Arabidopsis thaliana: one gene and its partner. The protein of the gene in region 1 interacts with the protein of each later gene in a pairwise test. Each region holds a gene or a part of one and is shown on either strand. Other genes may lie near its edges. The genes, in order: RK2 and PUB9.

The links.
Region 2: the proteins of RK2 (region 1) and PUB9 interact in a two-hybrid assay, tested with the Arabidopsis thaliana proteins (one study listed by BioGRID).

The regions. Positions count from the first base shown.
Region 1 is NC_003070.9:24,471,053-24,477,598, forward strand, and holds RK2 (receptor kinase 2), read left to right. Parts: upstream 1-1,820; 5' UTR 1,821-2,113; coding exon 2,114-3,404; intron 3,405-3,773; coding exon 3,774-3,908; intron 3,909-4,001; coding exon 4,002-4,192; intron 4,193-4,268; coding exon 4,269-4,479; coding exon of another isoform or gene 4,480-4,484; exon of another isoform or gene 4,485-4,564; coding exon 4,565-4,802; intron 4,803-4,905; coding exon 4,906-5,056; intron 5,057-5,144; coding exon 5,145-5,471; 3' UTR 5,472-5,835; downstream 5,836-6,546. Other genes in the region: RK1 (receptor kinase 1), read left to right, coding at 75-285, 371-608, 712-862, 951-1,277; AT1G65810 (P-loop containing nucleoside triphosphate hydrolases superfamily protein), read right to left, coding at 5,991-6,072, 6,146-6,280, 6,362-6,546.
Region 2 is NC_003074.8:2,352,868-2,357,604, forward strand, and holds PUB9 (plant U-box 9), read left to right. Parts: upstream 1-1,772; 5' UTR 1,773-2,016; coding exon 2,017-2,307; exon of another isoform or gene 2,308-2,654; coding exon 2,655-3,746; 3' UTR 3,747-3,998; downstream 3,999-4,737. UniProt on the Arabidopsis thaliana protein: Functions as an E3 ubiquitin ligase. May be involved in the abscisic acid-mediated signaling pathway, at least during germination.

The DNA of each region.
Region 1 (6,546 bases):
AAAAGTGATTCAAAACATATTGAAAATCTACCACAGCACATGGTTTCATTGTATAATCACATGTGTGGTAATAGGGAAGATTACTTGACGGAAAAGAAATTGCGGTAAAGAGACTATCGAAAATGTCCTCACAAGGGACCGATGAGTTCATGAACGAGGTTAGATTAATTGCAAAGCTTCAGCACATAAACCTTGTCCGGCTTCTAGGTTGTTGCGTCGATAAGGGTGAGAAGATGTTGATCTATGAGTACTTGGAGAATTTAAGCCTTGACTCGCATCTCTTTGGTTAGTGACTCAAACAGCTTCTGTTCTAATAATTGAACATTTTTGTGAAAACGTTAACTTGTTGTTGGTTGTGTTGGATGTGTAGACCAAACACGAAGCTCTAACTTAAATTGGCAAAAGAGATTTGATATTATCAATGGTATTGCTAGAGGACTTCTATATCTTCACCAAGATTCACGGTGTAGGATTATCCATAGAGACTTGAAAGCAAGTAACGTATTGCTTGATAAAAATATGACTCCAAAGATCTCGGATTTCGGTATGGCGAGGATCTTTGGACGGGAGGAGACAGAGGCTAATACAAGGAGGGTGGTCGGAACTTAGTAAGCAATCATTCTTCAACAAAACAAAAAAAGAGCTTTTATCTCAAGTCCAAATATTTTCTTAAAAACCTCATAACATATGAGTTTATATTTTGTTATGCAGCGGCTACATGTCTCCAGAATATGCAATGGACGGGATATTCTCGATGAAGTCGGATGTTTTCAGCTTTGGGGTCTTGCTTCTAGAGATTATAAGTGGAAAAAGAAACAAAGGATTCTACAACTCAAACCGTGATCTTAATCTCCTCGGTTTTGTAAGCTAAAAACCTCTTCAATTCGATATTGTTTTGCATTCATAATCTGATTATAACACTAAAGAAATATTACATCCTTTATGCACAGGTGTGGAGGCATTGGAAGGAAGGAAACGAGCTAGAGATTGTAGATCCGATCAACATCGATTCTTTGTCATCAAAGTTCCCGACACATGAAATCTTAAGATGTATACAAATTGGTCTCTTGTGTGTTCAAGAACGAGCCGAAGACAGACCAGTGATGTCCTCGGTAATGGTGATGCTTGGAAGCGAAACTACCGCTATTCCTCAGCCTAAACGTCCTGGATTTTGCATTGGTAGAAGTCCTCTTGAGGCTGATTCTTCTTCAAGTACACAGCGCGACGATGAATGTACAGTGAACCAAATCACTCTCTCGGTCATTGACGCTCGGTAATTTGTAACTTACGGCCCAATCTGTTTACATGCATATCATTTTATAGGTAAGTCTAAATAGATTTTATTACTACATATATGATTCGATATCTTGCTCTATCTAATTTAATTTAGACAAAAGATTCACCACATGTTTCACATGATTTTGATTTAGAGCGAGAATTATAAAAAAAAAACATTTAGACAAAGACAAAAAAATGCAAGATTTGGAGTTGTCACTCCAAGATTTGAAGTTTGAGACCGAAACTCAATTAAGTGGGAATTCAGTAATGATTAATATTCACTTTTTGTACATACTACTGATAATAGACCAATACTGGAAGCGAACATAGGACTTTATGGCTATTACAACAGAGGACTTTATGAAACAAATCGAATATATACCTTAAACTTTTATGAATTCATCGGTGAAGCATTCTCTTGCATATAACATTTAGTATGTCGCCAGCAACATTGAAATTTTGTCTATTCTCGTACACACACACACAAATGGTTGAGGATATTATTTTTTTGGAGTAAACGAAGAAAAGTCAGTTACTAGGAAATTACAAAACCATAATTATCAATTTAACGACTTTTAAGGTCATTGACTCAATTCTATAGTGACATAGTCTATAGATATTTCAAAAGCGAACAAGAAGACCAAGAAAATGTAGCTGAAAATGAAATATTATCAACAATAGAGAGAAATCGTGTAAATGACGTTCACACATTTCAACACCAAACATGTCGTAATCTCCGAAGATAAAAATTCTCAATTATATGTACATAAAATTTTCATAAGAAGAAAATAAAACAGAACACAAGAAAGTGTCCTAGCTAGAGAGAGAGAGAGAGATGAGAAATGTACCAAACTATCATCATTCTTACTTCATATTATTCATCATAATTCTGTTTCTTGCTTTCTCTGTTTATGCAAGCAACTTTTCAGCCACAGAATCTCTCACTATCTCAAGCAACAAAACCATTATATCTCCTAGTCAAATCTTCGAGCTCGGTTTCTTCAATCCCGACTCAAGTTCACGTTGGTATCTCGGCATATGGTACAAGATAATCCCTATAAGAACCTACGTATGGGTTGCAAACAGAGACAATCCTCTCTCTAGTTCCAACGGAACTCTCAAAATATCCGACAATAACCTCGTCATTTTCGATCAGTCCGATAGGCCTGTTTGGTCGACGAATATAACCGGAGGAGATGTGAGATCACCAGTGGCTGCAGAGCTTCTTGATTACGGTAATTTTGTTCTTAGAGACTCCAAAAATAATAAACCAAGTGGATTTTTGTGGCAGAGTTTCGATTTCCCGACAGATACTTTACTATCGGATATGAAAATGGGATGGGATAACAAAAGCGGAGGATTCAACAGAATCTTGAGATCTTGGAAAACCACAGATGATCCGTCAAGCGGAGATTTCTCGACTAAACTCCGAACCAGCGGGTTCCCGGAGTTTTACATATACAACAAAGAGTCCATAACGTACAGGAGCGGTCCATGGCTCGGAAATCGGTTTAGCAGCGTACCGGGGATGAAACCAGTTGATTACATAGACAACAGTTTCACAGAGAATAATCAACAAGTTGTTTACTCATACCGAGTCAACAAAACCAACATTTACTCGATATTAAGCCTAAGCTCCACGGGACTATTACAACGATTAACTTGGATGGAGGCAGCACAGAGTTGGAAACAGTTATGGTACTCACCAAAGGACCTATGTGATAACTACAAAGAGTGTGGGAATTACGGTTATTGCGATGCGAACACTTCACCTATTTGTAATTGTATCAAAGGGTTTGAGCCAATGAATGAGCAAGCGGCTTTGAGAGATGATTCTGTTGGTTGCGTGAGGAAGACGAAGCTAAGCTGTGACGGTAGAGATGGGTTTGTGCGGTTGAAGAAGATGAGACTGCCAGATACTACAGAGACAAGTGTGGACAAAGGAATTGGGTTGAAAGAATGTGAAGAGAGGTGCCTAAAGGGTTGTAATTGTACGGCGTTTGCTAATACGGATATTCGTAATGGCGGTTCAGGTTGTGTGATTTGGTCCGGAGGGCTGTTCGATATCCGAAATTATGCTAAGGGAGGTCAGGATCTTTACGTTAGAGTAGCTGCTGGTGATCTAGGTTAGTTTTTCTTTGCTCTTTTGGTTTTTATTTTATTGTTTAGTTGACTAATAGGTTCTAAGCCAAGGTCCGTAACATAACGGCTTGATCCACTAGGTCCGACCATATAAAGAGTATATGGTCCACAAAGTATCTTGTTGATGTTTGGTCAATTTTTTTAGTTTATTACTTGAAGATATACAAAATACTAGAATAACTTATATATCAAAAGATTAATATGGCTTAAGCTAGTTCCAATACCAAAAAATATATTAATTATTTTGTTTATGTTATTGAATAATATTTTATCAAAAATACGTAAGTACAACAAAGTATACTTTGGAGTTATTATTATGATTGAAGAAAATATATGCCTCGTCTTTATTGCAGAGGACAAGAGAATCAAAAGTAAAAAAATCATAGGTTCGAGTATTGGAGTGAGCATTTTGCTTCTTTTAAGTTTCATCATCTTCCATTTTTGGAAAAGGAAGCAGAAGCGATCAATAACAATTCAAACACCTATTGGTAAATCAACAGCTTTCATTTCCTTTATTTTTACTTCAATTTTTGATAATTAAATGTCTTAATTGTTTTTTTCTGTGTGTCTAAATGAAACAGTTGATCTTGTGAGAAGCCAAGATTCTCTAATGAACGAATTGGTAAAAGCAAGCAGGAGTTACACATCCAAAGAAAACAAAACCGATTATCTAGAGCTCCCATTGATGGAGTGGAAAGCTTTAGCCATGGCAACAAACAATTTTTCGACGGACAATAAGCTTGGACAAGGTGGTTTTGGTATTGTTTACAAGGTAAACATGACTCATAACTTGTTGAAAATCTATCACTGGCAATGGTTTCATTGAATAATCAAATGTGTGGTAATAGGGAATGTTACTTGATGGAAAAGAAATCGCGGTAAAGAGACTATCGAAAATGTCTTCACAAGGGACCGATGAGTTCATGAACGAGGTTAGATTAATTGCAAAGCTTCAGCACATAAACCTTGTCCGGCTTCTAGGTTGTTGCGTCGATAAGGGTGAGAAGATGTTGATCTATGAGTACTTGGAGAATCTAAGCCTTGACTCGCATCTCTTTGGTTAGTGACTCAAACAGCTTCTGTTCTAATAATTGAACATCTTTGTGAAAACGTTAACTTGTTGTTGGTTGTGTTGGATGTGTAGACCAAACACGAAGCTCTAACTTAAATTGGCAAAAGAGATTTGATATTATCAATGGTATTGCTAGAGGACTTCTATATCTTCACCAAGATTCACGGTGTAGGATTATCCATAGAGACTTGAAAGCAAGTAACGTATTGCTTGATAAAAATATGACTCCAAAGATCTCCGATTTTGGGATGGCGAGGATCTTTGGACGGGAGGAGACAGAGGCTAATACAAGGAGGGTGGTCGGAACTTAGTAAGCAATCATTCTTCAACAAAACAAAAAAAGAGCTTTTATCTCAAGTCCAAATATTTTCTTAAAAACCTCATAACATATGAGTTTATATTTTGTTATGCAGCGGCTACATGTCTCCAGAATATGCAATGGACGGGATATTCTCGATGAAGTCGGATGTTTTCAGCTTTGGGGTCTTGCTTCTAGAGATTATAAGTGGAAAAAGAAACAAAGGATTCTACAACTCAAACCGTGATCTTAATCTCCTTGGTTTTGTAAGCTAAATACCTCTTCAATTCGATATTGTTTTGCATTCATAATCTGATTATAACGCTAAAGAAATATTACATCCTTTATGCACAGGTGTGGAGGCATTGGAAGGAAGGAAAAGAGCTAGAGATTGTAGATCCGATCAACATCGATGCTTTGTCATCAGAATTCCCGACACATGAAATCTTAAGATGTATACAAATTGGTCTCTTGTGTGTTCAAGAACGAGCCGAAGACAGACCAGTGATGTCCTCGGTAATGGTGATGCTTGGAAGCGAAACTACGGCTATTCCTCAGCCTAAACGTCCTGGTTTTTGCGTGGGGAGAAGTTCTCTTGAGGTTGATTCTTCGTCAAGTACACAGCGAGACGATGAATGTACAGTGAACCAAGTCACTCTCTCGGTCATTGACGCTCGGTAATATGTAAGATTGTAAGTTATCGACCCACTCTTTTTATATAAAAATATAGACACAGGGCAGTAAGGTCTCCACACTAGGGGCTGATACTTTGCATCAGTCAGTGATACCTTGTGTAACAAGTTTCCTTTGCCTCCATGGAACGTATACAAAAGTTGTATTCAACTTCGTTGTAAATATAATTAAGATAAAAAGAAAAAACCAAAGAGGGTATAAACCCACAAGGATAGCTACAATTTCCGGAGATCCGGATGAGGAGGAAGCATGATACCAAGCTTGAGAATCCTTACAAAATCCCACTACTGCGATAGCATTATATTTATAGTGAAGAAAAATTGTGATCTAAGATGATACACATGTTCAGTGATCACTGATCAATGACCAATTTAAGTATGTCTGACAAATAGCAAAAGATAATAAGAGAAAAGTCACAAAAGGACGCAAAAGAAGCAGACACACAATGTTTTAAAAGACCAAAAGGAATACCAAATTGTCTGCTTTTGACAAAGAAACAGTCAAATTTCACTTAGGATCTTTGGGGTTAGATGTTGAAAGTTGAACCTTTCTTCTAATCTTCCACAGTTTCTTTAGCTTCACTTGTTTCCTGCAAAACAAATAAACAGAGAATATTACTGAAACTGCTTTGAAATCTCAAAGACTCATCAAATAAGCCTTACTTGATAGGTTTAGGACTCACAGTTTCCTCTTCCACAACACTGAGCAACGCAAATGATCTCGAAACATCGCTTACAATATCTTTCTTTGAACAAGAATTGGAATCAACCGGCCATTGCATTGGTACAACTAAATCACTGCATCATTGTGAAAACATAAAAACATAAATTTCTCATGTTTCAGATTAAATTAACACCACAAAAATTTAACTAACTCACCCTTGAGAGCATATGTATCGACACCGACTTATCTTGCCTTTCGTGTATCGCCTGTAATGTTTCTCTAGATGTTCTGTAACACGAGAAACATCAGTAGATGGCAAAACCTGCCAGATCTTCAAAACTTGTACATGTTGATTATTATTCTTGAAAATATCTATCGCCCAAATAAGACTTAAGCCATC
Region 2 (4,737 bases), on another chromosome or scaffold:
GCAAGCAGAGAAAAAAAACGACAGTTCGAAGATAACGAGGGCATTAGAAAGGGACACGTGGGTTAGAGGGTGGTCCTACGTAAACTGATTTTTTATCAGCAGTCCAGCTTGGCACTTGTGAGATTCTCTTCTGTGTTTGCAGATGAGTGGTGCCCACTTCTCAGAAATAATAGATATTATTCATACACGTGTCTATTTCAAAATGCCACTCAATAATAGTTGGTCTACTAACAACTTCAAATTTGAGAATTGAGTTGACACTATTCTAACCTCAACACTTTGTATCGTTGTATATGAACATCGATCACCCACTCTTATGGATGGTGGTTAAATAAACCGAAGTACAATAGTATTTTTTTTTATAAAAAAAATCCATACAAATTTAAACAAATTCAATAAATGTACTAATAATTTTAGTTTGAAGTTCTAACAATTAACAATGTAGACAAAGTGCCAAGACAAATTCCGTGGCCAATATATATAACTTGGTTTAGTTAAAACATTTGTTGGAATTAAAACATATTTTCAAAATTTCATGTTTTGGTGGAAGAAGTCGTTTTCACCTTTTAAATTTGTTTCAGACATGGAGTGATGTGTCATCTTGTTTAATATTATTGTCTACAGAATGTTACTAAAAGGTGAAAACCAAATCTTGATAAAGAAGTTAATTATAAAACAAAATCTTCCGGTTACATTTTTTTGGTTTTTTTGAATGTTATAGATTTGGTCAACTCTCTTAATTCATCCAATCACGCGTCGAAAGCTATAATAACACTTGGTTGCTTTTTTTTTTTTAATACAATTTTGTTTTTAAAACGTTTAGAACAAAAATAAAAAGAAGAAAAAGAAAGAGTGAAAAACGGCAGGGGTAAAAACGTCAAAGAAGAAATAGAGAGAGAGAGTGAAGAGGAGTACAACAGAATCCACGCGGAAAGACAGCTGTTCCCATGTTGGAATAACTGTGCGGGTCCCACTTTCATTACACTCACTCCTCTCGCACATCTTCTAATTTTCGCCGCCGTTACCGTCTTTGGAATTTTTTTTGGTTTACCACACTAATGTTACATTTTTCGTTAGAGATGATTTTGTTTTTTGATTACAACCTCCTACGACGTTTGAGTTATTGAGATTACTTTTATAAATTTCCTTACTCTGTTTCTTTGGGTCAACAATTCAAACAATGATGGTAATGGAGTGATCAATTGACAAAAAAAAAACACGAATCAAACAATGATCGATTATATAAAGCTGTTATGGTCTAATAACTGAATAATAAAATCATCATAAGTAAGGAACCAAATTCGAATACTCGCAATAAACCAATAATAGTAATTTAGTGGATAAAATAATAGTTATGGGTTCGGTGTCTTAAAGATTTGAGTTTGATCATCGTAATTCGTAAACCTTTGAAACATTTTCTGTTTTTTTCACAAACTTTTGGGAATATTTGTTTTGGCTTGACAAACTCTCCAAATAGCTCTTTCGTCGTTTAAAATCTCTTAGTTACAAAACAATGTATTGAGGTTTCGAACTCCCAAAACCAAACACAAGGGAAAGATGAAAACCATTAGGCCGATCAATTACTATTAAGTTATAACTAGCTAAATTACCAATAACGTGTATGGATTTATACCCAAAAAAATAAGTAAACGTGTATGAGTCTACGAGACAAATCGTGTCGGCTGTATTTTGACACCTTAGTCGCGAGGTAGGTCATACGTGCTGCATTATTAAATTCTTAATTTTGGTCGAATTAATTAGTAAATACTCCTAAATAATGACGTGGCAAATTCGGTGCAGGCCACAATTCTATTATAGTGAAGCACTAGAGTACAACAACAACACTTGTGCCTCTTCTTCTCTCTTCCTCATATTTATTACTCTCTCTTTCACAAACACACAGAAAATAAATAAATAAAATTAATTAATGTGAGAAAATCAATTCAAAAATTTGGACATACGTATCATCTGAGAGAAGAAGGGTTTGGTGAATACCGGCGGGTGGAACCGACGGCGATGGCGAAGACCGGTGTTTTCGATTCGGATCCGACGGCGATTGCTAAAGCCAAGGAACTGAAGCGTGAGATGAAGAAGTTGCTGATTAAGATCGATGACGAAGATGATTTGGGTGTTCAGACGATTGATCAGTTACAGGACGCTTTGTCTGCGTTGAGAGAAGCGACGATGAGGAAGATGGCGAAATCTTCCTCGTTAGAGATGCTCGAGACTGTGTCTTGTCCTGAGGAGTTTCGTTGTCCTCTCTCTAATGAGCTTATGAGGGATCCCGTCGTTTTGGCTTCTGGTCAGGTTTGTGAACGTCGCATTTCGATTCAATTCTTCTTCTTCTAGGGTTTTGAATTTTGCTGTTTCTGTGTTAGGTGACTGAAAATTTTGGATTTTTGGGGGAATTTTGATTGGCTTGAAACTTTTTCATCTGTTTTCTCGACCCGACTGAGAGAATCCGACTCAGGTTTCATAAAGTTCTTGTTTTGTCGGTAGTTTCGGTAATGATTTTCGAAACGATGAAATCTGGAGATTTTATCATGTAAATGAAAAAAGTGATTTTTAGAGGATAATTATGTGTTCCTTAGCTTGTTTAATAAATCTGGAAAGCATATAACTAAAAATTTATATATTTGTGTGTGATTTTGCAGACATACGACAAGTTATTTATCCAGAAATGGTTGAGCTCAGGGAACAGAACATGTCCCAAGACTCAGCAAGTTCTGCCTCACACGGCTTTAACACCTAATCTCTTAATCCGTGAAATGATCTCGAAATGGTGCAAGAAGAACGGGCTTGAGACGAAGAGCCAATATCATCCCAACCTTGTAAATGAAGATGAAACTGTGACAAGATCAGATCGTGAGATTTTCAATTCCTTGCTCTGTAAAGTCTCTTCTTCGAACCTTCAAGATCAAAAATCAGCTGCCAAGGAGCTAAGACTTCTGACCAGGAAAGGCACTGAGTTCCGAGCTCTTTTTGGCGAATCTCCGGATGAGATCACCAGGTTGGTGAATCCCTTGTTACACGGGTCAAACCCAGATGAGAAGCTTCAAGAAGATGTGGTTACAACATTGTTGAACATATCAATACATGATGACAGCAACAAGAAGCTCGTCTGCGAAAATCCTAATGTGATTCCTCTCCTTATCGATGCATTGAGGCGTGGAACAGTCGCCACGAGAAGCAATGCAGCTGCAGCGATCTTCACTCTGTCAGCTCTCGATTCAAACAAAGTACTTATAGGGAAGTCCGGAATCCTGAAACCGCTTATCGATCTCCTAGAAGAAGGGAATCCATTAGCTATCAAAGACGTAGCTGCAGCGATCTTCACTCTTTGTATAGCCCATGAGAACAGGAGTAGAGCTGTGAGAGACGGAGCTGTTAGGGTTTTAGGTAAGAAAATCTCGAATGGGTTGTACGTTGATGAGCTTTTAGCTATATTGGCAATGCTTGTTACTCACTGGAAGGCTGTGGAGGAATTGGGTGAGCTCGGTGGGGTTTCATGGTTGCTGAAGATAACTCGAGAGAGCGAGTGCAAGCGAAACAAAGAGAATGCGATAGTGATACTGCATACTATATGTTTCAGCGACAGGACAAAGTGGAAGGAGATCAAAGAAGAGGAGAATGCTCATGGAACGATAACAAAGCTTTCGCGTGAAGGAACTTCAAGGGCGCAGAGGAAAGCAAACGGGATATTGGACAGACTGAGAAAAGCTATGAATCTCACTCATACAGCCTGAGAAAAGCCTTGAAATCTGCAATGTAAATTACCTAAAATCTTGTTTCTTTTTTTTACTTTATTTGGCTGTAAGAATTTTTGTAAATTATTCATATCTTTAGGATCTGAATGGTTATTGGTTTTCGTATGTGAGATGTAAGTAGAAATCTGTGTGAATAGTTTTTGCGTTTGATGTTTCTGGAGAAATCAATCAATAAAATCAATGTTGGTGGCTTTATTCAGCTGTGAAAGCCTTGGTCAACAAGTAACAGTGTGTAGCTTTTCGTCTGTTTCTGTGTATAAATAAGTAGATTATTAAAAATACATAGAAAGGCTGTCATGTCGTGTTCCTCACATCACTGATAAACCACAAAGCAAATCAATCTAATTCCACTCTCTCTGGAAAAAGAGTTTATTACAGAGTCACGAGTTTTCCATTGATGTGATTTTTTCTCTATGTAATGTAACGTGACGATGTGATTCCTATTGTCGTGTTAGAAAAAAACAGTACTTTTAAGTTTATTTATATATAAATAAATACTCATCAAAGCTTATAAATAAATTTCGACTATCACTGATGAATTATAAGTTTTGTTAGAAAACATAACGGAGTAGTTTTGTAATATATTTCTAAAAAATGTTCTAGACAAGGCAAGAAGCATGTAAGTAATGATAAAAATCACATGTATTTGGTTGGTTGGATTGCTTGGAAGTTAGAATTGAATCACGAAATTGCTAAAACTCGTGATTCGTAATAATTACAGGTCAACATATCGTGAGAAAGTTGAAAAAATGGAATATTTAATAGAGAGGATAGAATATGGATTCGTCCTAAACCACTCTTTGGTGTTATTCCTCACCAAACTTTCACAGAAAAGCCAAGAAAAGAAAGAATTTGATGCTTTCTTTTTAACTTTTTATCCCCAAGAAGTAACGTTTACAATTCATTGGATACAAAAAAAGAAATAAATCCCATAAAGGAAGAAAAAGAATCGTAATAATCCACAACCACA